Ovis aries: one gene and its partners. The protein of the gene in region 3 interacts with the protein of the main gene of each other region in a biochemical or structural test. Links are inferred from orthologs where the notes say so. Each region holds a gene or a part of one and is shown on either strand. Other genes may lie near its edges.

What was found.
Region 1: the proteins of MYOD1 (region 3) and CSRP3 form a complex in vitro, tested with the Homo sapiens proteins (2 studies listed by BioGRID and IntAct, with this or other methods). The link is inferred for Ovis aries from reciprocal best matches to the Homo sapiens genes MYOD1 and CSRP3.
Region 2: the proteins of MYOD1 (region 3) and CDK4 form a complex in vitro, tested with the Homo sapiens proteins (2 studies listed by BioGRID). The link is inferred for Ovis aries from reciprocal best matches to the Homo sapiens genes MYOD1 and CDK4.

Annotation. Positions count from the first base shown.
Region 1 is NC_056074.1:23,277,031-23,281,196, reverse strand, and holds the start of CSRP3 (cysteine and glycine-rich protein 3), read right to left. Parts: upstream 2,801-4,166; 5' UTR 1-2,800. UniProt on the Homo sapiens protein: Positive regulator of myogenesis. Acts as a cofactor for myogenic bHLH transcription factors such as MYOD1, and probably MYOG and MYF6.
Region 2 is NC_056056.1:161,900,650-161,904,475, reverse strand, and holds CDK4 (cyclin-dependent kinase 4), read right to left. Parts: upstream 2,649-3,826; coding exon 2,431-2,648; intron 2,265-2,430; coding exon 2,129-2,264; intron 2,014-2,128; coding exon 1,846-2,013; intron 1,694-1,845; coding exon 1,584-1,693; intron 1,334-1,583; coding exon 1,283-1,333; intron 1,138-1,282; coding exon 1,002-1,137; intron 594-1,001; coding exon 501-593; downstream 1-500.
Region 3 is NC_056068.1:34,553,440-34,557,474, forward strand, and holds MYOD1 (myoblast determination protein 1), read right to left. Parts: upstream 2,801-4,035; 5' UTR 2,459-2,800; coding exon 1,829-2,458; intron 1,315-1,828; coding exon 1,236-1,314; intron 976-1,235; coding exon 725-975; 3' UTR 6-724; downstream 1-5. UniProt on the Homo sapiens protein: Acts as a transcriptional activator that promotes transcription of muscle-specific target genes and plays a role in muscle differentiation. Together with MYF5 and MYOG, co-occupies muscle-specific gene promoter core region during myogenesis.

The DNA of each region.
Region 1 (4,166 bases), on a different chromosome or scaffold from region 3:
AATCGTCTCTGAGGATGTGGCCGACTGTTACTCTCAGAAACTCACTCGGCTCTCTTGACCTTTATAATTTGTTTTTAAAGACCATGTTGCACCCTAGGGTGCATCCTGATTCAGCCACTTCCTAGCCACGTGACCCTGAGTGATTACTTTGCTTCTCTGAAGTTTCGTTACTCGCTGTGAAGAATGACGTCTTGCACCACTTTTGGTGACTTTTGGCTAACTGCGCTGCACGCCTGCACAGGGCAGTAAACAACGGACAAATCATGACCCCTTTCCCATGATGAGGTCACCGGTCAGGCTCAGAGAAGCTTCTGTCTTCTTTGGGCCCAATAATAAGACAATGATTGTCTCTTCTCCCGCTTTCCTTCACTGCAGTGAGTAACTGCGATTCTTCACAGTTGAAGGCATGCCATTTCTCTTTGGCTGTGAGGTCCAGCTCTTGGATATAGTACTCCCGAAAATCTGAGCGGCACACTTATAATTGGAAGTCTGCCTGCCTCAGGAGTTCTATTTCCCGTGTGTTATATTCCTTGTCTGTGTCCTTCCTCTTATAAAACAGGTTAATCATCTAACTCCTGATCAGCTTGTTATTTGCTCCAACCTCTACCATCGCACTTGTAGTGGCTCAGATGGTAAAGAATCTGCCTGCATATGCAGGAAACCTGGGTTCGATTCCTGGGATGGGAAGATCCCCTGTAGAAGGGAACGGGAACACACTCCAGTATTCTTTCTTGGACAGAGGAGCCTGGCAGACTACAGTCCATGGGGTCACGAAGAGTCGGACACTACTGAGCATCTAACACACTTGTACTTAGCAGGAAATCCTCTCGCAGCCCATGGGGTGTGGCCCTGTGCCTTTTCTCCAAGGCCTGAACTATTGGTACAGTTTTACTAAGCTTACAGACTACTTTCTCATACTTTATTCCATTTGTTTCTAACAAATGCCCTTGGGATAGGTGGCCTAACTTTAATTTTTACTGTTCAGAAATGGAAACTCAGGGAAGTGATATTCAAAGCTAGAATTTGAACTGCCTCTATGGCTGAGGCTCTTCATTTGCTACTATTTCCTTTTTCAAGTTTGAAGAATTTCTTTCTTTTTTTTTTAAACATGAACTTTTTTTTCTTTTTTTGGCTGCACTGGGTCTTTGCAGCACACAGGCTGGCACAAAGTTTTAGTTGCCCTACAGCAGGCATGTGGAATCTTAGATCCCCAGTCAGAGATCAAAGCCACATTCCCTGCACTGGAAAGCAAATTCTTAACCACTGGATCACCAAGGAAGTCCCCCAGGATTTCTGAATTTGTATTTTCCCAAGAGTCTGTCTCCCCGTCTTCCAGGAGGACTGTAGCAATTTGCCTGTTGAAAGATCCTGCTCACTCTTTCCTTCTCCTTCTCTGCCCCCAATCTCCTACCTCCTCCATCTCCAGTGGATGGCTTGTGTGGGGGGCTGCAGAGCACCTGTCTGCCCGTTTGAGAGGGTTCTGAGCCTGGGGGTCACCTGTACCCCTACCAATAGGCAGGGCTTCTTTTAAGGACTGAATTGTTCAGAATGGAACCGAAGTCAAGCCAGAAGAATCTCTGACATTTTCTGGGTCATATAGAAGTTTTACATACATTGCAATGAACTGAATGTACCCAGCGTTGCAGTTCAATCCCCAAAATATTATAAACTGAGGACACAGGTTTTCCCCATTTTCCTGCCCTTTTTGTATTGATGCCCACCCTTCCTTGCATTCAGGAGACAGTCAGTATAAGCTCATCAATGGCAATGAACTGTAAACTGTACTGCAGAGACAGGGGTCCTCAGACCTGTTTGCCAACCCTCCCTTCTTGAGTCACCACCTTGGCTCAGTGAAGGGAACAGGAATTAGAGGCGGTGGCTCTGATCCTTGGACAGCATTTTCACTCATTTCTCACTCTCAGTCACACTCATGCCTGTCATTCACTGGGATGTAACAGCAACAGTAACAACAGAATCCTGTACTGAAATCTAGGGGAAACAATGGGAATCACCCCTCAAGCCCCAGCTGGGAATGGTCTTCCCAGCAAACAGAACTTTTAATTGATTTTCGACACAGACATGTCTTTTTGGGGGGCTTGTTTTGATTAGTTTCAAATGCTTAAGAGCAAGCCTATTGCTGAACATCCTTGGGATATAAAATCTGTTTTAAATCAATGACTTTCAAGTTTTACCAAAGTGCAAGACAGGATAAGGTGAACTGTAGAAGTCTGAGTCACTCACTCACACCTTTTGAAAAAGAACAGATCCTTGTATTTTAAGCATTGGAAAGGTGGCTTCTGCTGTATCGTGTCTATTGTAACCACGTTGCGCAGGGCTTTACAATGTAGGAAAATGTCACCACATCCATACTGATCCTGGGAGGGGAGACCAAGACCCTGAGGGCAGGGACTTTCTCAAAGTCACATGTCATTCGTTATGTGATCCTAGGACTAGAATGAACACCTTTTGACTAAGACAATAAGAAACATTATTCCATCAAAATAGTTTTAGACCAAAAATGATTCCTTACTCATTCTCTGGGAGCTTTCCTTGCACCCTCGAATGCTAATCACCCTTTGAGGAGTGTTCTAGTCTACCCCAGAATCGAGCATAACTTGACCCTCCTCACATGGAACCAAAGTGGCTGGTGGCGCTTGAAAGAAATACACGCTTGCTCTATGAAGCACACCCTTACTCTACGGACCCTTCGTAGTCCCAGTGCGCCCCCAGGCCAGCTCACCCCCAGGCCTGATGCCCTTCGCTCCACTCACCTGTCTGTGTGATCTCTGTCGGCTCAGCTGCATAAGGGGGCTCACGTCCTCTTTAAATACATGAGGGCCGTCACCAGCCTTGGCCCTCAGTTCAGGGAAGGGGAGGGAGGCTGAGGGGAGGGGGTGAATGAGACATGAGTAACACAACTGCTATCAGAGGCCGAAAATAGCTTGTGACCAAAGCCCTGAGTGTCGTTCCCCCCACACCAGCTGCGAGGCCCCTGCAGAACCATATCGCCTGGGTTTTGTTGTATTTGCCAATAGCCTTTGGCATACAGGGATCAATTTGTGGAGTGTGCATTTCTGATCAAATGCTGGGAACAGGAACAAAAGCAAGAAAGGATTTTACACCTAAAATCAATTTTCCAGGCTCCCACTCTCCTGACCTTCCTGGAAATCAATGCAAAGTACCTGCACATGAATCATGAACCATATCTGGGCGCCCTCTGGAACTCGAAGACACAGGTCACTGTTCTTGTGAAGGAAACTCAGAGCTAAAAATAAGAGTGATGGGTGTCTGGAATAATACTTAGATGATCTCTTCAAAGCAGCTTGGGAAAATAAAGTCAGCTTAATCATTCAAGTCACGTCACTTCATGGCCTGCTATCCTATGAGGAAAAGTTTTCTCTCCAAAGTTTTTAGTTACTTTGTTATCTTTTTCAACTTAAGAATTTAACATGGCTGTGCATCCTATTTAAGGTAAGTCTTGACAAGTCTCTATAAACCCACAATTTTTTTGGAGGTCTGATTTCTCGCTGCCTGAAGAGCGCATATGTTTTGATCAAGCATCAAGGACTGAATGAATGATAGAATTTGATAGCTGACAAGAAGTTCAGAGGTTTAATAGACAAATTGCTTTCCTTTTTATAAATTTTATATATATATTATATATACATGTATTTATTTGGCTGCGCCAGGTCTTAGTTGCAGCATATGGGATCTAGTTCCTTGTCCAGGGGTTGAACCTGGGCATCCTGCATTGGGAGCACAAAGTGTTAGCCAGTTTGACGACCAGGGAAGTCCCAGTAGACCAAGTCTTTATGCTATGGCTAAAGAAACAGACGCCTAACTTGTTCAAGGCCAGACCATGAGGTCTGGCCATGAGATCAAGGCCAGATCTAGGGCTTCAGTTCAGTTCAGTCACTCAGTCATGTCTGACTCTACGACCCCATGGACTGCAGCATGCCAGGCTTCCCTGTGCATCACCAATTCCTGGAGTTTACTCAAACTCATGTCCATTGAGTTGGTGATGCCATCTAACCATTTCATCCTCTGTTGTCCCCTTCTCCTCCCGCCTTCAATCTTTCCCAGCATCAGGGTCTTTTCAAATGAGTCAGCTCTTGGCATCAGGTGGCCAAAGTACTGGAGTCTCAGCTTCAGTATCAGTCCTTCCA
Region 2 (3,826 bases), on a different chromosome or scaffold from region 3:
AAAATAAAAACCATTTAAACTCTATAATCAAAGAAGCCATGTAAATGCCTTTCCTTCCCTTGTTAGTAGAGGGGCTCCACTGACCCTGTGATCTAAAGAGAATCTGCAAGGAAATTCCATCTTCCAAATGGTTTTTTCCAAATTCCCAAACAGTAAAGCCAATCAGAGGAAGAAATATTAAAAAAAAAAAAAGACCATATTTGTTTTGTTTGTCCTGTATAAAAAAGGATCCCAATATAAAGGTATAAAGAAGGGGAGAACAAGGGACATATCTCTTGGTGTAAGGACACAGGATAAGGATAAGCCTCAAAAAGAAGGGTGGGAGGGGAATATTGTTAAGGCAGTAAAATATTGTCTGTAAAAAGTTGGAGGAGTCGTCTCCACAGCTTCAGAGGTGAAGGCAGAGGTTGCCTTCTCAGTGGTGGGGCTCTCCACTCAAGTGTTCAAAAGAAGGGAAATTTGTGTCTCTCGCCTTGGTTCTGTTCCAGCCATTCTGTTGCTCACTCTGCGTCACCTTCTGCCTTGTGTAGATAAGAGTGCTGCAGGGCTCGGAAGGCAGAGATTCGCTTGTGTGGGTTAAAAGTCAGCATCTCCTGAGAAGAGACGCAAATGTCAGAAAACATGGAAGAAACAAAAGGGACTCCTGCTTAACCCTAACAATACCTAGAATGGGTGATTTTTTTCTATCCCTCTTGTGGCCAGCCGTTCAAAACAGTAATAAAAACCAACCTGTTCATTATCAAGTCTCAGTAACAACAATGCATTTGGGTCCCTTTTATCCTGCTCCATTTCCCCCCACTGATGGCTCAAGTGGTAAAATAAACTGCCTGCAATGCAGGAGACCTAGATTCAATCCCTGGGATGACCCGCTGGAGAAGGAAATGGCAACCCACTCCAGTGGGCTACAGTCCATGGGGTTGTAAAGAGTCTGACAGGACTGAGTGACAAACACGTGATTTCCCCCTGTAGTCTCGCCCTGTGCCCATGCCTGAGTCTATTACCAGCAGCAGCTGTGCTCCGGATTCCTCCAGCTCAGGGACCACTGACTGCACTGGGCGGGGCCCTCTGGGGGAAAAGGCTCCTCGGGGTAGAGAGACATCTCGGGGCCAGTCATCCTCCGGGGGCAGTCCGATCAGGCTATGGGGAACAAGAGAATTCTGGTCAGGAGGGCCTTTTTCCAGCCCCCATCTCCAGGGGCAGAGCCAGCTGCTGTCAAGGACTCAGCAGAATGCAAAGTCAAGGACTCGGAATGCAAAGTTCTTCCCCCTTGCAGGTCACTTACTCAAAGATTTTGCCTAACTGGTCAGCTTCAGAGTTTCCACAGAAGAGAGGCCTAAGGTGAAAAGAGACAGTCATTCCAGTAGCAGTTTTACAAAGACAGGGTGGTAGATACTGTTTAGTGGCTCAAAACATAGGGTGTGGAGAATAAAGGGCTATGAAATTCCTAATTCCAGAACATTTCAGAGTTTCCGGCTATGGACAAGGTGGCCAATAGTAAGTGGAAGAGCAGGCAGGGTATAGGCGTGGCTTATGAATAAAAAACTTGGGAAATTCAAAATGTTTGGGATACTTGGGCCCCATACTTTCGACGAAACATCTCTGCAAAGATACAGCCAACACTCCACATGTCCACGGGTGTTGCATACGTAGACTGCAAAAGAACTTCTGGAGCACGATACCAGAGTGTAACAACCTGATGGGAATAAGTAATGCGGATGAGAGTCCTGCAAGTTACTGCAAAGCACATGGAAAAACACGCTCCTTCTCAACTGTTATGGGCAATCACTCTTCTCCCCCAGCCAGACCCCACTCTGGCCCCATCCTGGCCACCATCATTCTACTGACCACAGGTGTAAGTGCCATCTGGTAGCTGTAGATTCTGGCCAGGCCAAAGTCAGCCAGCTTGACTGTCCCACCACTTGTCACCAGAATGTTCTCTGGCTTCAGGTCTCGGTGAACGATGCAGTTGGCATGAAGGAAATCCAGGCCTCTTAGAAACTGGCGCATCAGATCCTGGTTTGGAAGGGGGAAGTACAGAGAAACTGGGAATCAGGTGCCACACCTGAAATTACAACAAACTACCACAAAGGTCTCAAGCTATCTCTCAGTGTCTGCCCGCCCTACTTACCTTTATGGTCTCCACTGGCAAGCCTGGTGGGGGTGCCTTGTCCAGATACGTCCTGAGGTCTTGGTCCACATGCTCAAACACCAGGGTCACTTTGGTCTCCCGGTCAGTTCGGGCTGTTGCACAGACGTCCATGAGCCTGGCCAGAACAAATGGTCACTCATTGAGCAATGGTCTTGGACCCAACATGGCCTCCCCTATTTCCTCAGGGTTCCCACTCCTCTTCTGACCACCACTCCACATCTACAGGTTAGGCTGTCTTTTTCCTTTCACGACCCATTCCCACCCTTCCATCTTCTTCTCACCTGACAACATTGGGATGCTCAAAAGCCTCCAGACGCCGCAGTAAGGCCACCTCCCGAACGGTGCTGATGGGCAGGCCCCCTCCAGCACCTCCTCCGTTGGGGACTCTCACACTCTTGAGGGCCACAAAGTGGCCACTGTGAGGATCACGGGCCTTGTACACTGTCCCATAGGCACCGACACCAATCTCAGCCACTGGCTCGTATCGAGAGGTAGCCATTCTCAGACCAGAGGAGGCCCTACAATCACAGAGGCTCAATGAGCCTGCAGCAACAAAGTGACTCCCACAAAAGACATCACGAAGACAACACCAACAGCATTCCCAAGCTTCCCTGAAGGCAGCCCCCTAGGTAACACAATAACTCTAACCCCAAACCCTCCAGCCACGTGAGGCCCTATAACTTTTTCAAAGATGCATTTTCCTTGGGGACCATCAAGCCCCACACAAGGGAAATCCCATAAGACACACCCCCTACATCAAAGACCCGACACCCAGTTCCTGAAATTACACCTCCCTTCGGCCACAAAGGAACATTATCACATCCTGCCCCACTTCCCGCCCTCGAGCAACCCTTCCATAACCAGCCCGCGTAGGAAGCAGTGGACGGCGAGAATGGTCCCCATTCCTGAAAAGGGCTACACTCACCTCGCCCCGTGTCAGGAGCTGCGGGGTCGGCCCGTTATCCGGACCCCGGAGCCGGTTCCTGCAGCGCCATACACTCGAGGTCTGTCCTGGGCAGCTGGACGCTATGGGCCCGACCATAGACACAGGCCGCAGGCTAGAGCGGCCCCCTTTACCCCCACCCTCACCATGTGACCAGCTGCCAAAGAGGCGCGCGGAAATTGGAGGGGCGGGGCCAACGCCGGACGTTCGGACCACGTGACCGGACTACTCATGCGCGGAGGGGCAGCCAGAAAGCGGCTTTGAACGAGAAAGGGGCGAGGAGGGGAAAGAGGCGGAGAGAGATGGCAACCACATGATCTGTTGCTATCACACGTGACCGCTTGACATTGCTTGGAGGAGCAGAGGTGTGGTTACGCTGAAGGGCACGTGACTGGCTGCCTTAACTCTGGCTGGGCGTTGGGGCGGGAGAAGAGAGAGGGTGGAGTCCAATGCGATGCCATGGCAACCTGGGCCACCCAGGATTCCCAACTCCGGGCTGCAAGCCGAGCCTGAGTCTCACTACCTGTCTCTCACTCTCTCTAAGCGGGGAGATGGGTCGAGGGACGGGAGGTGCTGCTGTCGTCTTTCTGCTCCATCGCTAGCAGAAAACATGTTCTCATTTGTGTCTTTGTTTCATTCATTCATTCAGCAAATGTTTACTGAGTCCTTGCTTCCTGTGTGTCTGTGGGGTTTCTTTTTTTTGTTAATTTTTTTTCGACAAGTGTCGCAGACAC
Region 3 (4,035 bases):
CGCGGTATAAATTAGCGTCTTTATTTCGAACACCTGAGCGAGCGCCCGCGGCTCGCCTGCCTGCCGTATAAACATACAAAGTCCCTGTCGCACCGCACACCATGCCTCAGAGATAAATACAGCCCGAGGGGCTCCTGCTCTGGCAAAGCAACTCTTATTTACAGGAATAGATTACAAAAGTATTACAAAAAGTGGTCCTGAACCGGGGGTGGGGGTTGGGGGGTGGGAGTGGTTACCGTTACACCTGTTAACACTTGGGAAGGGAGCGGCGGGAAACAGCTGAAGTCACCAGGGGGCTCCGGAACGGAGGGGCACGCCCCTGTAAGCGGTCGGGGGTCTTGGGGGCGGGGCTTAGGCCTGCGTGGGCCCCACCCCGCCATGGGGGAGGGGGCGAGGAAGAGGAAGGGCCTGGCTCTTCAAGGGTCAGCTCTGGCCCACGGAGTAACATCAAGTGGCCACCACAGCGGGTCTCAGGGAAGAGCGCTGAGTGGGGAGGGGGGGCGGGGGGGGGGGGGGGGAAGGACCATGTCCTTGCCCTGGGGTGCGGGAGGCGGAAACACAACAGTTCCCTCGCCTCTCCTACCTCGGGAGGGTCGCTTTTAAAGCGCTGTTGGGAGGAGAGTGGTTGGCACTTAAGCGCAATCTTTTGGGCGCGAGGGACCCTAGGGGCACCATCCCTCGGGCCTGTGGGCAGCGGCGCCCCCCGATGAGGCCGCCCAACCCCTCAGAGCACCTGGTAAATCGGGTTGGGGTTCGCGCCCGCGAGGCCCTGAGGGGCAGTGTCGGGGGAAGGGGCGGGGGTGCCGCACTCCACCTCGCTCCCGGCGGCCGCCTCCTGCGGGCCGGGAGACGACTCCGGCGGCGCGTCGGCCAGTAGAAGCGCGGGCGCTGCGGGGCTCTCGGTGGAGATGCGCTCCACGATGCTGGACAGGCAGTCGAGGCTCGACACCGCAGCGCTCTTCCCGGGCCGGGGTTCTGCGCGGGGAGGGGTAGGTTAGTATGCGGGGGTGCATAAGTCTCCCACCTCCGAGTTCAGTGCTTTGAGGCAGACGGGGAAACTGAGGGCCAGCCAGAATTCGTGAGGATCCCACGAAACTTCAGGATGAAAAAGGAGGGAACTACATGCTTAGTATTTCATTCCCGGTACCATCTCCCAGGATGGGGGCAAGGAGGTCTTAGATAAAGAGAAGCCAGAGTAGCTCAAAAGGGATGGGGAAGGAGGCGCGATTACGCACCATTGGGCGCCTCGCTGTAGTAAGCGCGGTCGTAGCAGTTCCGTCGCCGGGCACCACTCGGGGGGCCGCTGTAGTCCATCTGCAAATGGAAAGGAAGACCGAGTCAGGCCTGGGAACTGCGCAGGGCAGGAGCTCCATTCCCTGCAGCCGCCCCCTCCCCGACTCCCCAACTCCCCAAATCTCAGCAACGAGAGTTCCGGGCCCGGATCTGACTGGGTTCGGGAGCAAGGGTGGGCAGGAGCTGTCTGCAGCATGCCGGGCCAAACAGAGGGCAGACAGTCACCCAGGAGCACAAATCTGCATTTCGGCAACAGGGATTAGAGGAGAAAAAGCAGATTTTCGTGTCGGCGCAGCAGTGTTCTAACAGTGCCCCCAATCGGGTGGATCGTATTCTTCCTGTGCGTCCCCAAAGCCCTAGGCCATCCCAGTGACAGCTGCTTGGGGTGGCAGTGGACTCCACCAGGGGTCCACTCCCTGGAAGGTTCCCCGCCCAACCCTCCCTACCAGATGGCCAGCTCCTTGCCCTCTCGTAAACACATTCCTGATATACCAAGAGCTGCCCGCACTTCTCTAGCCCAGGGTCCTGGCCTTACCATGCCGTCGGAACAGTTGGAGCGCGGACTGGAAGCGTCCGAGTCGCCGCTGTAGTGTTCGCCGCTGCGGCCGGGGGGCAACGGGCCAGGCGCGTAAAAGGCAGCGGCAGCGCCGGGAGGCGCGGCGTCCTGGTCGCGAAGCAGCGCCTGCAGGCCTTCGATATAGCGGATTGCGTTGCGCAGGATCTCCACCTTGGGCAGCCGCTGGTTTGGGTTGCTAGACGTGCAGCGTTTGAGCGTCTCGAAGGCCTCGTTGACTTTGCTCAAGCGGCGCCGCTCGCGCATGGTAGCAGCCTTGCGGCGGTCGGCGTTAGTCGTCTTGCGTTTGCACGCCTTGCAGGCCCACAGTAAACAGCGGCCCGCCTGGTGGTGCCCGCTGGGCGCGCGCACATGTTCGTCCTCGCGCGCGCCCGGGGCCGGGTGCGCCGCTGCAGGGAAGTGCGAGTGTTCCTCCGGCTTCAGGAGCGCGCCCACGTGCACGAGGCGCGGATCCAGGTCCTCGAAGAAGCGCAGATCCGGGGAGTCGAAACACGGGTCATCATAGAAGTCATCCGCTGTTGCAAAGTTGCAGAGAGAGCCGTCGGGGCCCGTCAAGTCTACGTCGCGGAGCGGCGGCGACAGCAGCTCCATATCCCGGCGTGGGGCGGCGCGGTCCTGGCTTTGCCCAGCCTCAGCGGCAGCGGCAGGGGTTGCCAGAAACTTACTGCGGTTCTGGAGCCCCGGCAATGAGAGAGCAAAGCACTGAGGGTCTGAATGTATAACCAGCTGTTCCTCACCCTCCCCGGTCCTGTCCCGCCTGAGGGACGGACGGCGAGGAGAGCCGCGGCAGCGCCCTGAGGCCTCCCCACCCCTACCTTCACACCAGGCTCCCAGGGCTATTTATCCCGTAGTAGCCTAAGGGCCCCCGAGCCCCAGCTAGCGGCTAGGGGCGGGGGCGCCCGAGGCCAATAGGAACAGAGCAGGGAGGAGCTTGGGATCCCCAGGGTGGCAGCTGGGGCCAGAGACTGGCCAGCCCCCTACCCCTTGACACCCGCGCGCGAGCGCTCGGGCCCCTCCCCAGGCGGGGAGGAAGGCAGAGGCTGGCAGCCCAACGCAACTGCACTTGGCTCCCGGGCACACTCTTTCCAAATTTCTCCAGCCCTGGACTCCTCGTGTTTCCGCGGGAAACGCTGGCAACGCGCGCTTACCTTTGGGCTGACTTTGGGGTCCCCTTGGTCCACTGATTTGTGGGGACCCAGGAGCAGGATAGGGGTAGAAATCAGATCGGGAGAGATTTGGAAAGAGACACACTGCGATAAGGCAGAGGTACACTCAAAGCTAAGTTAGTGAGACGGTGAGGGGGTAAACCCAAGAGGCATTGAGAGACATTAAGAGAGCAGAAAGCTAGAGTCAGAGGCAGGAAGATGAGCAACGAGAAATGAGACTCAGTCCAAGTGGGGGAACCTGAGACTGAACGTTGCCGTCGTACCACTTGGCCAGCTCCTGCCAAGGGAATCACTCAGAGGGTCGCGGGCCCATTTTCTCTGCTCGCTTGGAAACCCAGCCGCATCTACACAGGAGTCGATGATCGCTGCCAAAGCTTCGTGCCAATCTCTCCAAACTCAGGGCCTGTCCCAGTCTGAAGGGAAGGAGACAAACTTCTGCCCAATTCAACCTGCGCGTTTCCGCAGGGAGATGTCCAGTGCGGGTCTCAGCCGCGATGTCTCTTCTGCTGGGGAAAAAAGGGAAAGTTCATTGCACAAAGGCTTAGAACGCCGAGACCACCTGAGAACCTGACTTCAGGGTGGAGTCTTTGAGAGCGGAGTTTGCAGACCAATGAGCAGAACCCCACAGTTCCCTGTGTGATTTTGTGGAAGTCACATCTCCTTCTGAACCTCAGTTTCCCCACTTTGTAAATCTGAGGATATTAATAGCGATCTCTCAGAGTGATTGCAGGGTTGAGGGGGGGGGGGGCGGTGAGAATCTAAAGAGAGCGAAGATGTGGAAGCCCTCAGTCCGAGGTGCAAGGATATACTAACAAGAGGGCTTGCTTCTGTCGTTGACACCAGCTGGACAGCTGGAAGTTGTGCTTCTTATAGCCCTCTCCGCTGTCAGCTGGGGCACTGAGCTCCTATGGAGGCCAAGGTAGTCTTAGGGCTAGGCTCCTGTGAAGGTCTCAGGGCATTTCTCCCCAGCCAGGACCACGGACTGCTACTGCTGCTGCTAAG